Oryctolagus cuniculus: one gene and its partner. The protein of the gene in region 1 binds, or shares a complex with, the protein of each later gene. Links are inferred from orthologs where the notes say so. Each region holds a gene or a part of one and is shown in the gene's direction. Other genes may lie near its edges.

What was found.
Region 2: the proteins of BCKDHA (region 1) and BCKDHB are in contact, whole or in part, in a crystal structure (PDB 1V16), measured with the Homo sapiens proteins. The link is inferred for Oryctolagus cuniculus from reciprocal best matches to the Homo sapiens genes BCKDHA and BCKDHB. Residues at the interface, in NP_000700.1 of Homo sapiens: Phe155, Leu185, Gly186, Lys187, Arg189, Gln190, Gly196, Cys197, Lys198, Phe202, Val203, Thr204, Ser206, Pro208, Thr211, Pro214, Gln215, Val217, Gly218, Ala219, Tyr221, Ala222, Arg225, Gly244, Asp245, Ala248, Asn251, Phe252, Thr255, Leu256; in NP_000047.1 of Homo sapiens: Pro89, Thr90, Val92, Asp117, Arg118, Phe120, Asn121, Thr122, Pro123, Cys125, Gln127, Gly128, Ile129, Gly131, Phe132, Ile134, Gly135, Ile136, Val138, Thr139, Asp158, Gln159, Asn162, Glu163, Ala165, Tyr167, Arg168, Tyr169, Arg170, Ser171.

The regions. Positions count from the first base shown.
Region 1 is NC_091449.1:13,103,855-13,111,249, reverse strand, and holds the start of BCKDHA (2-oxoisovalerate dehydrogenase subunit alpha, mitochondrial), read left to right. Parts: upstream 1-3,532; 5' UTR 3,533-3,585; coding exon 3,586-3,684; intron 3,685-3,879; exon of another isoform or gene 3,880-3,902; intron 3,903-7,395. Other genes in the region: EXOSC5 (exosome complex component RRP46), read right to left, coding at 1-55, 2,937-3,168. UniProt on the Homo sapiens protein: Together with BCKDHB forms the heterotetrameric E1 subunit of the mitochondrial branched-chain alpha-ketoacid dehydrogenase (BCKD) complex.
Region 2 is NC_091436.1:92,364,953-92,372,364, reverse strand, and holds the start of BCKDHB (2-oxoisovalerate dehydrogenase subunit beta, mitochondrial), read left to right. Parts: upstream 1-3,501; 5' UTR 3,502-3,594; coding exon 3,595-3,790; intron 3,791-7,412. UniProt on the Homo sapiens protein: Together with BCKDHA forms the heterotetrameric E1 subunit of the mitochondrial branched-chain alpha-ketoacid dehydrogenase (BCKD) complex.

The DNA.
Region 1 (7,395 bases):
TTGCTGACCTTCACCTCGGCCGGCCCGTACACCCCTGCCAGCACGGAGGTGTCGCCTGGGGAGACAGCAGGGCAGGCTTCACCTGCACGGTCCCGGCCTCGGCGGCCAGGCGCACCGCTTTACCGGATGGGCTCTGAGCCCGACGGCCGGGTCCCTGTCACCCCTGCCACTTGGTGACACGAGTGCTTTCAGCACCTACCTGTCCAACCCTGCTTTCTCACCTGCAAAGAGGACAACGCTGCCTCCCCCGTGGCATCCTGGTTCAGCGACACAGTTCACTCAGATCGCCGCCTGGCACAGGCCGGGCGCCCGACAGACCGTGGCTGAGAGCAGCTGCTTTACCAGGAAGTTCTTCCGAGGAGCTAACCTCCTCCCTCTCGCTGCAGCGACCTCTGCATCTCCTTCCGCAGCTTCCCCAGCCCAGCTCCCTTCTCCGGGGCTCCCAGCCCCAGATTCTGCAGCGGCCCAGACAGCTGAGAAGGGTAAATACTCAGGTGGAGCCTGACTCCTGCTTTTTCTCAGAGCAGGTCGGGTGTAAGGGGAGGGAGGACTTGGGCATGAAGGGCCTGGCTCCTCGTCCCATCGGCCTGCTCCAGCTCTGGAACGGGGATGAATTTGCTCCCCTTCCTGGGCCTCTGTGTTGCCATGTGCACGGGGCAGACACCGCCCTGTAACGGTCTCCAGCCTGTCTGACCTCAGTCCAATTAGAAATCTGTTTACAGGGACCCCCAAAATCGCAAAACCCACGTCATGGATCAGTGAACGCACAAAACCCTGCTACTGCTCTCACTTCCTCCCCTGCTTGCTTGCCTTTTTTTTTTTTTTAAAAGATTTTATTTATTGGGGCCAGTGCTGTGGCGTAGTGGGTAAGGCTGCTGTCTGCAGTGCCAGTATCCCTTATGGGTGCCGGTTCGCGTCCCAGCTGGTCCACTTCTGATCCAGCTCCCTGCTGTGGCCTAGGAAAGCAGTTTTTGCTGCAAATCAGCACAGCTCCAGCTGTTTCAGCCAAGTAGGGAGTGAACCAGTGGGTGGAAACCACCCCTCCGCCTCTCTTTCTCTCTGTGTGTAACTCTTTCAAATAAACAAATAAATCTTAAAAAAAAAAAAAGAGAGAGAGAGAGAGATCTAGCATCTACTGGTTCACTCTTCATATGGCCACAATGACAGGGGCTAGGCCAGGCAGAAGCCAGGAACCAGGACTTGTTCTGGTTCTCCCTGTGGGTGGCAGGGGTCCAGGCACTTGGGCCATCTCCACTGCCTTCCCAGGCACATTAGCAGGGTGGTGGACTGGAAGTGGAGCGGCTGAGAGTTGAACTGGGGCCCGCATTCGATGTCAGCACTCCGGGTGGCGGCTTAACCTGCAGTGTCCCCGGAACACACTTCTTGAGAGTCTGCAAAGCACTGACTGTTATTCCACAGGGTCCTATGGTTTTGCAGTTTTAAAATTATTTTTAAATTTTAATTAATTATTTTGAAGGCAGAGTGACAGAGAGATAGCGAGAGCTTCCATCTGCGGGTTCACTGTTCAAATGCCTGCATCAGACAGGACTGGTCGAGGCTCAAGCAAGGAGCCTGGAACTCCATCTGGGTCTCCCATGTGGTTGGCAGGGGCCGCACTTGGGCCACCACCCTGTTGCCCTTCCAGGTGCATTAGCAAGGAGCTGGATCAGAGGCAGAGCAGCCAGGGCTCAAACGGGCACTCATGAGACGCCAGCCAGGCCAGCAGCTTAACCGGCTGCATCACAGCTCCCACCCTGCTCTGGGGTTTCAGACCGTGGGAAAGGCTACCTTTCTCCTTATTTCTTGTGTTCTAAAACACCTCAGCAAGACAGCCAAGCTGGAGGAGGGCTGGGCAAGTCTCCAGGGAAGAGACAACCGGGGGGGGGGGGTTCTGCTCCTGGGAGACCCAGTTTGCCCTCACCCCGGGGTGCTCTTAGTTCGGGGAGAATCTGTCCACCCGGAGGAGGCACCTGAGCGGAACCAGGTCCTTGCTGGGGTCTTCACTCCTGCCTGTCCCACCGGTACACGGACCGGCCTCCCTCCACTCCCGGCTTCCAGGCCACGGCTCTGCCAAGTCTCTTCTCTCCACCCCGCATCCATCACCAACTGCTGCCCCACTCCCAGCCCTTCTCACAGAAGCAGTCCTTGAGAGCAGTCTCCACTCACGTCTCTTCTTCCTCCCCTCCCGGCCCCACCACTCCGCTGCCGCAGCCTGGAGCTTCACCAAGGACCCCCAGCGGCTCAACCCTCCCGAGATCAGCCCCCCTTTCAGACCGGAACAACTGGGCGGCCCTTTCATCTCACACCCTTCCTCTCGCCTCCGGGACACCTCCGTCTCCTGATTCGTCCCCTGCCGCACCTGCCGCTGGGCGAGCTCTTCACACTTCCGGGAGCTCTCAAAGTTGGGGGGGCCCGGGGGTTAGTGCTGGGACCTCTTCTCTTTTCTGTCTACGCTCATTTACTCGCATGGAAAGATGCGGATATTCGCTCACTTGGTGGGGTGGGAGTAGGGGAGTACCTGTCAAAGGTGAGGGCGTCATCTATACTATACTTGGGGGGTAATATGTGCCCCGCTCTAGGGAGGAATTAAACCCACGGCGATGACCCGCCTACTCTACGCGGCATTTATGCAAACAGGCTGAGAGGGGCGCGGATCTAGTAAACGGAGGTGATTTACCCGGATAAGACCTTCCGAATTCTGGAAGTCATTCTTGCGGGGGTAGAGAGCGCTCCCTCCCGGTCTGGAGGGGGACGTGTGTATGCGGTGGATCCGGTAGTATCCACCCGAGCAATACGTTCCGCGGCAGTGAAGGAGAGGCAGGGGCCAGCTCGCATAGCGGCGAGGTCGGCCTCAGTGTTCCATAGCCCGCTCTCCCACACAAACACCAAATGGGTGAACGTGACCGGGGCGGTACGCACCTGGGTTAAGTTCTTACCTTGCAGGAAAGAAGCAGAGCCATCCGGCCTGGACAGCAGGTTCTGTTCGCAAGCAAAGTGCCGGAGGCTGCAGCCAGGGCCCCGAGAGCGACACTCTGTCCCAGTGTCAGCGTGGGCATTGGCGCCAGCAGCCACCACCCCCTCCATAGTCCCAGAGCCCACGTGCAGGCCGGACCGTCGCTTCCGCCCAGCAGAGTGCGCTTGCGCGCAAGTTGCGTACCCAGTGCGCATGCGTGGGTCCGCTGGCTAACTGGGCGCGCGCACGTGGGTTAGGGTTTACAAACAAATATGACTCCGTCCGCTCCCCGCCTCCCCACTAAGGCAAAGCCATTGGACAATAGAGGAAAGGGGGCGGGCTTTGGCACGGGCTCGTCCTACCCAAGGCCCCCGGGCCTTAAACCTCGGGCGTCCTGATAAGGTTGCCCTCTTCTTTGCCTGTTTACATGATCAACTACAACGGGGCTATCTGAGTAATTTTGGAAAAAATAATTCACCTTCCTCACACATTTACGCGTACTGGCGTAAGTGGGACTGGAAGCAGGTGTTCTATGTCACAGTGGTGCTGGCAATTGAATCAGGCTCATGAAAGGGCAGCCCCCGGTCTAGGTTAAAGGAGGGGGCGGGTCGCCGAGTGGGTTGTAAGTCAAGATGGCGTTAGCGATTTCCGCGGCGAGGGTCTGGGGGCCTAGGCGCCAGGCTGTGCCCCTGTTGCTGCGGCAGCTTGGGGCGCGGGGGCTGACTAGATCCGTGAGTACTTGGGGCCCCTGGAAGTTTTCCCTAAGGAGTAATAGGGCCGTAAAGACCCTCTTCGGAGCGTCACCTGCAGGGTATGCAGCAAGGGCTGGCAATCAAGGAAGCGAAAAAGGATTGGGAGAGCGCGCGGAGGGGCCTCGCGAGGGAGGAGCTTCCACTGAGGAGGGGAAAGGCGAGGTCGCCCCTCTGCGGGCTCTGAGGGAGGCGTAAGGGTAGGTCTTCTCGCTCGGCGGGGCGCGGGGACGGCGAGACCGTGTCCCTCAGGGGCTGGAGAACGGACTGACGTGGCCAGGGGAGAGTTTCTTGTGGATGGACGTTCTCGTCCAAGCCGAGAAAGGAGGAATGCGGTCCAGTCGCGGGCTTGTATGGGGTCTTCATTTCTTTGCTCCTTCGCCTCAGTTCTCGGTTTAAGACGAGTCGTGGGAGGAAGCCATGGACTCCTGCGTGCCCTGAGGGGACGTCGGCAGGCAGGGACTTGACTGTGCTTGGGACGCTACCGAGGAGGGCAGCCATAAGTATTTGTTGAATTTACGAGGGAGGAGAGGACCGGCCGGGGCATCTGCCCACATTTCTCGAAAATCCTTGAGGAATTTTTATTTCTTGTCCAAAGGGTCCGAGGGCCTTCTGGTAGAAGCCGCTTGGGGTAAAGTCGCCCCGCGGACCCTCTGGTGGGGAGAGGGGCTGACGTGGACCAGGGAAGGGCCTGAGCTACAGCCCGGGGGGCTCACAGCCCTGCCGTGCCCCTCGGTGAACCCTTAGGGGGTGGTTGTGAAAACACGCGAGGTGTGAGAACCAGCCCTGCAACAGGAGTGTCGGGGCGCGACCTTGGCGAGGGGAGCGGAAAGGAGGTGGCTTGAACTGTGGGGTTGGGTCTGAGCCCCAGTGTGTGAGGCAGGGAGGGGAAACCGTAGGGGGAATCTCTGATAGAAAGGAGGGAAGAAGGGTGTGAATGCTTGGAAGAGAATCACCTGAAGCAGGTAGAGGCCGAGGAGGCGCAGGTGCAGGGGGCGGGGCAGCCTTCTGCCTTGGGGCTGTTCTCTTGTAGTGTTTTTTTTTTTTTTTTTTTTTTTAAAGCAGTCAGAGCCTCTACCGTTGACCTCATTCCCGAGAGCCCACTGGCTGGGCAAGTCGGGTGGGAGGTGGGCAGACTGGGGCAGGCCAGGGGAAGGTCGTTTGTGTCTGATTAAACCTGTTTCTGTTGGCTCAGTCTCCTTGTTGCCTGCCTGCCTTCATTTTTTTTTGGGGGGGGGACGGATACTCATACTTTTATTTATATATGTTTACTTAGTTAAGTTTCTAAAGATGTATTTATTTGAAAGTCCGGTAGAGAGAGAAAGATAAGATCTTCCTTCTGCTGGTTCACATCGCAGATGGCTGCAATGGTTGGGGCTGGGGCTGGGCCTGGCTGAAGCCAGGAACCAGGAGCTTCCTCCAGGTCTCCCCTGCGGGTGCAGGCCCAAGCACTTGGGCCACCCTCCACTGCTTTCCCAGGCGCAGTAGCAGGGAGCCGGATCTGAGGTGCTGCAGCTGGGAAAGTGAGATGCTGGTGTCACAGGTTGCGGCTTTACCTGCTATACCACAATGCTGGCCCTGTTTATGTATATCTTGATTTATATTTTCTTTTTTTTTTTTTTTAAAGGATCTATTTATTTATTAGGCAGAGGCAGAAAGAGAGAGGTCTTTCATCCGCTTGTTCACTCCCCAAATGGCCAAAACAGCTGGAGCTGCACCAATTCGAAGGCAGGAGCCAGGAACTTCCAGGTCTCCCAAGCACTTGGGCCATCCTCCACTGCTTTCCCAGGCCATAGCAGAGAGCTGGATGGGAAGTGGAGCAGCCGGGACTCAAAGTGGCGCCCATATGGGATGCCGGCGTTGCAGGCAGTGGCTTTACCTGCTACGCCACAGCGCTGGCCCCAATTTATATTTTCTTAGAGTCACTGTCTCCCACCTGTATTTTTGCCACCTAAGATTTTAAAAAGAGGCTCCACTTTTTTAGTGTAGAGAAGGGACATAGCATTTCTTTTTTACAAGATTTTATTTATTTATTTTGAATATATATTTATTTATTTGGAAGTCAGAGTTACACAGAGAGAAGGAGAGGCAGAGAGAGAGAGAGATCTTCCATCCGCTGTCTCATCCCCACTTGTCCTGAACGGCCGGAGTTGCGCCAATCCGAAGCCAGGAACCCGGAGCTTCCTCCAGGTCTCCCATGAGGTGCAGGGGCCCAAGGACTTGGACCATCCTCTACTGCTTTCCCAGGCCATAGCAGAGAGCTGGATCGGAAGTGGAGAAGCCGGGACTTGAACTGGTGCCCATATGGGATGCTGGCACTGTAGAGGGCGGTTTTACCTGCTACACCACAGCGTCAGCCCCAAGATTTTATTTGAGAGAGAGAGCTATAGACCAAGAGAGGGAGAGACAGAGAGGTCTTTCATCTGCTGGTTCACTCCCCAGATGACTGCAATGGCCGGAGCTGGGCCAGTCCAAAGCCAGGAGCTTTTTCCAAGTCCCCACCCCACCCTGGATGCAGGGGCCCAAGCAGTTGGGCATCTTCCACTGCTTTCCCAGGCCATTAACGGGGAGCTGGATTGGAAGAGGACAGCCAGGACAGGAACCGGGGCTTATATGTGACGCCAGTGCTGCAGGCAGAGGCTACTATGCCACAGCACCAGCCTGGAGCCATAGCTTTAGTTAAAGAAGATTCTAGGCCAGGGTTGTCCAGTAGAACTAACTAACTTCCTTATTTAAAAAAAAAAATATTTGTTTTATTGATTTGAAAGGCAGAGTTATATATAGAGGGAGAGACAGAGAGATATATTCCATCTGCTGGTTCACTCCCTACATGGCCACAGGGTCATGAACTGGGCTGATTCAAAGCCAGGAACCAGAAGCTTCTTCTGGGTCTCCCACGTGGGTGCAGAGGCCCAAATATTTAGGCCATCTTCTGCTGCTTTCCCAGGGATTAGCAGGGAGCTGCATCAGAAGCAGAGCAGCTGGGACTCGAACCCATGCCCACGTGGGATGCAAGCACTGTGTGTGGTGACTTAACCTGCTACCCCACTGCACCGGCCCTTCTTCTTTAAAGAGATTTATTTGAAAGGTAGAGTTAGAGAGATCTTCCATCTGCTGGATCTCTCCCCAAATGGCTGTAATGGGCAGGGCTGGGCCAGGCTGAAGCCAGGAGCCTGGAGCTCCATCTGGGTTTCCCACATGGTGGCAGGGCCCAAGCACTTGGGCCATTCTCCACTTGTTTCCCAGGCGCATTAGCAGGAAGCTGTATCAGAAGTGGAGTAGCTGGGTCCGGCACTGTGGCGCAGTGGGTTAAAGCCCAGCCCTGAAGTGTGGGCACCTGTTCGAGACCTGGCTGCTCCACTTCCTGTCCAGCTCTCTGCTAAGGCCTGGGAAGGCAGTAGAAGATGGCCCAAGTCCTTGGGTCCCTGCACTCACATGGGAGACCCAGAAGAAGCTCCCGGCTCCAGATTGGCACAGCTCCAGCCATTGCAGCTATCTGGGGAGTGAACCATCAGATGGAAGACCTCTCCCTCTCCCTCTCCCCCTCCCCTCCCCCTCCCCTTCCCCTCCCCTCCCCCTCTCTGCCTTTCCTCTCTCTGTGTAACTCTGACTTTCAAATAAATAAATAATAAATCTTAAAAAAAAAAAAGTGGCTGGCGCTGCGGCTCACTAGGCTAATCCTCCACCTGCGGC
Region 2 (7,412 bases), on another chromosome or scaffold:
TGCCGTTGGTTCACCCTCCAATGGCCGCCGCTGCAGCCGGCGCACCACGCTGATCCGATGGCAGGAGCCAGGATCCAGGTGCTTTTCCTGGTCTCCCATGGGGTGCAGGGCCCAAGCACCTGGGCCATCCTCCACTGCACTCCCTGGCCATAGCAGAGAGCTGGCCTGGAAGAGGGGCAACCGGGACAGAATCCGGCACCCCAACCGGCACTAGAACCCGGTGTGCCGGCACCGCAAGGTGGAGGATTAGCCTATTGAGCCACGGCGCCGGCTCCATTTTTTTTTTAAACTTTTATTTAATGAATATAAATTTCCAAAGTACGACTTATGGATTACAATGGCTTCCCCCCCATACCGTCCCTCCCACCCACAACCCTCCCCTTTCCCACTCCCTCTCCCCTTCCATTCACATCAAGATTCATTTTCGATTATCTTAATATACAGATCAGCTTAGTATACATTAAGTATGGATTTCAACAGTTTGCTCCCACACAGAAACATAAAGTGAAAAATAATAGATGATTTTTTTAAATGATGATGAAATCAGAGCAGACCTATTGTCATGTTTAATCCCAGTGAGAGTCAAGTTGGGAATTGATAATTTCTTTTTTTTTTTTTTTTTTTTTTTTTTTTTTTTTTTTTACAGAGGATCAGTTTAGTATGCATTAAGTAAGGATTTCAACAGTTCGCACCCACATAGAAACACAAAGTGAAATATATTGTTTGAGTACTCGTTATAGCATTAAATCTCAATGTACAGCACATTAAGGACACAGATCCTACATGAGAAGTAAGTGCACAGTGACTCCTGTTGTTGACTTTACCAATTGACACTCCTGTCTATGGCATCAGTAATCTCCCTATGCTCCAGTCATGAGTTTCCAAGGCTATGGAAGCCCTCTGAGTTCTCCGACTCTTATCTTGTTTAGACAAGGTCATAGTCAAAGTGGAGGTTCTCTCCTCCCTTCAGAGGAAGGTACCTCCTTCTTTGATGACCTGTTCTTTCCACTGGGATCTCACTCACAGAGATCTTTTGCCAGAGTGTCTTGGCTTTCCATGCCTGAAATACTCTCATGGGCTTTTCAGCCAGATCCGAATGCCTTTAGTGCTGATTCTGAGGCCAGAGTGCTATTTAGGACATCTGCCATTCTATGAGTCTGCTGAGTATCTCACTTCCCATATTGGATCACTCTCCCCTTTATTTACTCCATCGGTTACTAGACTTGTCTATGTGCTCCCTTTGACTCCCAGTCCCTCCACCATGACCAACTGTGAACTGAAATTGATCACCTGGAACAGTGAGATGGCATTGGTACATGCCACCTCGATGGGATTGAATTGGAATCCCCTGGTATGCTTCCAACTCCACCACTTGGGGCAAGTCAGCCTGAGCATGTCCCAAATTATACATCTCTTCCCTCTCCCATTCCCACTCCCACGTTCAACAGGGATCACATTTCAGTTAATTTTCAACACTTAAGAATAACTGTGCATCAATTACCGAACTAAACCAGTCATATTAAGTAGAACAGATAAAAAAACTACTAAGAGGGATAATGTATTAAGTTGTTCATTAACAGTCAGGGCTATTCTGATCAAGCCACCATTTCCCATAATGTCCACCTCACTCCAATTTAAGATCAATGAAACATGACCATAAATGGAAGGAGAGGGAGACATTACATAGACATTTCCATGGTTACCGGAGAGATGGTTTGGTGGAGATAAGGAAATTTCCAAAAACAGTTGCTTATTGGGCAGACAAATCTGTTAGGTGCTCTGTTTCTTGTTCATGACTGCAGATAGCTGGAAGCCCAGACTTCTTAGGCCAGTGTGAAAGGCCTTCAGAACCTCTCTCTTTATACTTTCTAGTTTTTCTGCTAACCCTTCTGTCTCTCTCTGTACCAAATGATTTTCTTCTCCTAGAATGCATGGTATTCTTTTCATGACTATGAGCTTTTGTCCATATTTTTTTTCTTTGTCTGGAGTACTTTTTTCTCCTTAGTCTGCCTGGTAACTTCTACTCACCTTTTTAGGCCCCATTTGGTGTTACTTTCCAAAAACAGAGTTTAGTTCTTACTGGGTGTTTCATGTTGCTTGCACGGTTCTAGGGCCCCTATTACACTTGCTTGTGGTTATCATCTAATCTGCCTTCTTTCTCTTGATCACATCTGTCTGACTGGATTGGCAATATAACAGAGGGGCAATACAATCATCTTTTTATTACTTTTCCCTTTTCTCCTAGTTCCAAGTCATGTCAGCACCCCAGCTCCCTAGACTATTAGCAAACAGAGAAAAGAAAACTTGATTCACTCTTTGTCTTCTATATTTAAATTAAATTTTTATTTTTAAATTAAATTTCACTATATAAGGGCAATTTCATTTGTCATGTTTCTTCTGTCTTAAAATAAAAATATCCTTTACACATGTAAAAATGAGAACCACCAGACATACACACATACACACACAGACACACACCATTAAAACAGTGGAAGTGAACACTAACTAGAACTAAGATTAAAAATCCCCTGAATACTGACATGTTGTGCTTAGTGTGGCAGTATGACTAATAGAGACATAATTTTGATTCTCCTCTTTGCTGTTTCTCAATCCCAGTCAGAAAACAGGCAACTGGTACCTCTCTGCTTTCCCTCTAACCTCATTTATTTTCTCTCCTCCCTTGCCTCCATGTAAAACCAGAGGGATTGAGATGTCAGAAATAACAGAGAAGGAACATTCGCTTCCCCTCTCTTCAAATTCCATTCTGGGACTGTCTTTCGCTGCCCTTCCACCTTCGTCTAACGGACATACTTCTACATTTGTGTTTGTCATAATGGATTTGACTGCAATTTATAATCTTTCTAACACTTGGATTTGGAAAAAGGAAATTTACAAAGTTCATTATTGTAAATGTAAATTAATACTCAAACTCTCAGGTTTCTAAGGTACCCCGGGTAATTTTTGCAGCGTCTAGGCAAAAATGCGTCTAAATTCCTAACTGGATTTACAGGATGAAATCTAAGTTTACCTCTTTTATCTATAGCCAGAGAAATCAAACCAATACAAATCCATACACATTTATTAAGTACTTCAGGGAAGGTGTGAACCAGCAGTTTTCTGAAGCTCAAGGCTGATCATGAACACTTTCCAATCTTCACTTTGAGTCAAAGAATAGGAGAGGAAAGAAAAAGGTTTCATTTTTAAAGTACAAACCGAAACGAAAAACCCATTATAAATGGCAGTGTAAATGACACTGTAGAAGAATTAATCCAGACATAGCGTGGGACCCCGCAGACCCACGTCCTCTCCCCAAGTCCACACAGCTGACTTTGGGAAGGTCCCCCTCAGGAGCAATTTCATTGGCGCTCACACGCTTCCCTGCACTCCCCCAGGTACGTCTTCCGCATGCGCACAACGCACACAGGCGGCTTCGTTGCCGGGTCTTCGTCCCCGCCCCCGAATTTCTAACCCTGATTGGTCCGTTTCACAGGCCCGCCCCTCCTCCTCAACCAATGCGGAAGCTTCCTTGTCGCTCCGCCCTCCCCGCTCCCGGCGTGCGGCTGCATTGCCTGCTAACCCAGGCACGGAGCAGGGATGGCGGCTGTGTCGGTGACTGCGGGCCGGCTGTTGCGGCTCCGTGCAGCCGGGGCTGAGGGGTACTGGCGACGGTTGCGTGGCACGGGGCTGGCCCGGAGCTTCTTGCAACCTGCCTCGGCTGGCGAGGATGCGGCCCAGACTCGGCAGGTGGCTCACTTCACTTTCCAGCCTGACCCGGAGACCCGGGAGTACGGTGAGCCTGGGGCTACCCTGTCCGGTTCCGCTGCAGCCCAGCCTGTCGGGCCCGCGGGCGAGGGCCTGCAGGCTGATCTTGCACCGGGCTTAATCCTTGCATAACTCTCTGGAACCTTTCTGCCTCGGGGTCGGGCTGAGATTCCCTCCTGGCTCTGATTTTGTGGCTGTTCAGCCCTTGAGACGCAGTCCCTTGCACCCCTGAGATGGGTGAGAGGCCATACCGCGCTCTGGAAGGGCCTGAGGGTGGAGAGGTGGTGCCCAGGGAACGCCTCTCTTCCTTCACCCTCCATCAGTGTTTTCGTAACCCAGGCCTTATGTGTTGTTCCAGCTTGCCTGGAACTGGGCCACTAACTTTAAGCAGCGGCATATGAAAGAAAGATTCCCCCCACCCGACCCTGCCTTTGGATCCTAAGAAGAAACTGAGGGATAAAATAGCTGTATTAATTTTACCAAGGTCACATAACAGGTTCTTCCTACAGATAGGAATGAATCCAGGCTTCCTGTTTGAGGCCAGTCCTGACCTTTTTCTGGGTTGTGCCACCACTTAGCCAAGGAGGGGTAATGGATGAAGGAATAGGAAGCTACAGGAAAGATGTTGCGTGCCTTGTACCATTTCTTTTTTTTTAAACTTTTATTTAGTAAATATAAATTTCCAAAGTACAGTTTATGGATTACAATGCCCCCCCCCCCATAACTTCCCTCCCACCTGCACCTCTCCCATCTCCCGCTCCCTCTCCCATTCTATTCACATCAAGATTCATTTTCGATTCTCTTTATATACAGAAGATCGATTTAGTATAAATTAAGTAACGATTTCATCATTTTGCATCCATACAGAGCATAAAGTGTAAAATACTGTTTCAGATTGGAAGCTGAGGGCAGGGACTCGTGCATCAGGGTATGGATCCCAGCCGAAAGTGAATTTGAAGCTTGTGCCACGAAAGGTTTGTCCTCGGGGGACAGACAGGCCTGCCAGGACCCCCACTCAGACAGGTTGGGTCCCCGGGGGGCTGATTCTTCCGGCCCCCACCCCCGACCTTCCTTGCCCATGTTCCGCCCCATCAGCTCTCACTGCTACAGCTGTGTTGGACCAGATGGGAGGAAAGGCATAGCCGCCCCGGCTTCCAGAGGGGTTGCGCGGGCTGGGGTCTGAGCCTGGCGCCCATTACTCGGCCCTAACATCAGGAAGCTAGGGGGGCAGAGCTCAGACCCTTTTCAGCCGTGTCTTTGGGGTCCCCCACCTCCCCCATGGTCCCCCCACAGTCTTCAGTGGGACGGCTGACTCGGGGGCGTGGGAGGTGGTTCAAGGTCCGGGTCTCCACCGCACGCAGACATCTTGGTGGTGGGGGAGCGTCACCAGGCGAAGCCGGCCCCTCCCCACCCGCTGATGAACCTCCTTTTAGAAGCCCCGTTTCACTTTGTTTTATCTACCTCTTAGCAGGCAATAGAGATGAATTAGTAGTGGCAACTCCACTTGCTTAGGTTAGGGGGGAAAAAGATGTCTTTTTCCAAAGGAAAAAAAAAGTTTCCTTAAAAATACTTTCCAAAAAACTACAAAAAAATTTTTTTTTGATAAAAAGAGGGAGATATCCAGTGACCACTGGATTGTTTTAATTTCCCAAACTTAACCCCCCCCCCCCCCACTCCCCATAATGAGGTTTCACTCTTTGGCGATTTTCTTCACGTGTTTAAGATAACGCTCTAGCTGTCCCGACAGGTACACCTGTCACTCTGTCCCCTTAGCTTGTCTCACCCGTACCCCGTTCCAAGGAGCCCTACCTGGACCCCTCACCTCCTCCTCCCCCTCCCAGCCAGGTGACTACCGGGGGCCTCACCAGGGACGAAGGCGTGTGTGTATGTGTGTGTCGTGGACACTGACGTCTGGACCCTGCACTGCCTCCGGAGGGGCTGGGGGACCCCTTGCAACATTTCTGTGTGGATTTCCTGGAAGCCACTGCTACGGAGGGTGTTTAGAATGAATTTCAGCAGCTCATGAGTTGGCATAATGAATGAACCACCTCTGTTACTGTGTTCTTGCTCTTTTTCCAGAATCTGAAACCAGAATGTGTCACAAGAGCCCCTTTCCTGATGTCGGGTGGGTTGGTGTGCATCTCCTCCCAACACGGGAGAGCGACAAGTGTATTTTTATGAATGTGGGTGGGGGAGGGCTGAGCACTCCCTTTTGTGACCTGTAATTTTCAGAATGAGTGCTATCTTACTCTGTAATCACGATAATGTTGAAAACTGTACATGACTGGAAATTTGCCTGCCATCGCCACCCCAATTCTGATTGTACCTCTTCCCAGCCTTGAGTCTGTTCTCTGCTTGTCTGGAGGGTGGGGCAGCTGGCTCTGACCTTCGCAGGGCACACTCTCTGCTTCTCTTCCCTGTGACAAACCACTGCATTCCGCTGTTTCAATAGAAAAAATACTGTTTCAGTACTAGTTATAGCATTAATTCACATTGAACAACACATTAAGGACAGAGATCCTACATGAGGAGTAAGTACACAGTGACTCCTGTTGTTGACTTAACAATTTGACACTCTTGTTTATGGTGTCAGTAATCTCCCTAGGCTCTAGTCATGAGTTGCTAAGGATATGGAAGCCTTTTGAGTTCGCCGCTGACTTCGATCTTATTCCAACAGGGTCATAGTCAAAGTGGAAGTTCTCTCCTCCCTTAAAAAAAAAGTACTTCCTTCTTTGATGGCCCGTTCTTTCTACTGGGATCTCACTCACAGGGATCTGTCATTTAGGTCCTCTTTTTTTTTTTTTGCCAGAGTGTCTTGGCTTTCCATGCCTAAAATACTCTCATGGGCTCTTCAGCCAGATCCAAATGCCTTAAGGGCTGATTCTGAGGCCAGAGTGCTGTTTAGGACATCTGCCATTCTATGAGTCTGCTGTGTATCCCGCTTCCCAGGTTGGATCATTCTCTCCCTTTTTGATTCTATCAGTTAGTATTAGCAGACACTAGTCTTGTTTGTGTGATCCCTTTGACTCTTAATCCTATCATTATGATCAATTGTGAACAGAAATTGATCACTTGGACCAGTGAGATGGCATTGTGTACCATTTCTTATGTGACTTTTATCTGCTCCTCCAAGGACCCAGTGTTTGTCATTACCACACCAGTAAAGAGTAAGAAACGTCTGTCATTTCTTTTTTTTTCTTTTTCTTTTTTTTTTGTTTTTTTTGACAGGCAGAGTGGACAGTGAGAGAGAGAGACAGAGAGAAAGGTCTTCCTTTGCCGTTGGTTCACCCTCCAATGGCCGCCGCTGCCGGCGTGCTGCGGCCGGCGCACCGCGCTGATCCGATGGCAGGAGCCAGGAGCCAGGTGCTTTTCCTGGTCTCCCATGGGGTGCAGGGCCCAAGCACCTGGGCCATCCTCCACTGCACTCCCTGGCCACAGCAGAGAGCTGGCCTGGAAGAGGGGCAATTGGGACAGAATCCGGCGCCCCGACCGGGACTAGAACCCGGTGTGCCAGCGCCGCTAGGCGGAGGATTAGCCTAGTGAGCCACGGCGCCGGCCAACGTCTGTCATTTCTTTGTCCAATAGCTTCTCACATGCTACAGCTGATGTTTTTGGAAGTGTATCTTTGAGCTTTAGGACAATCTTAAATC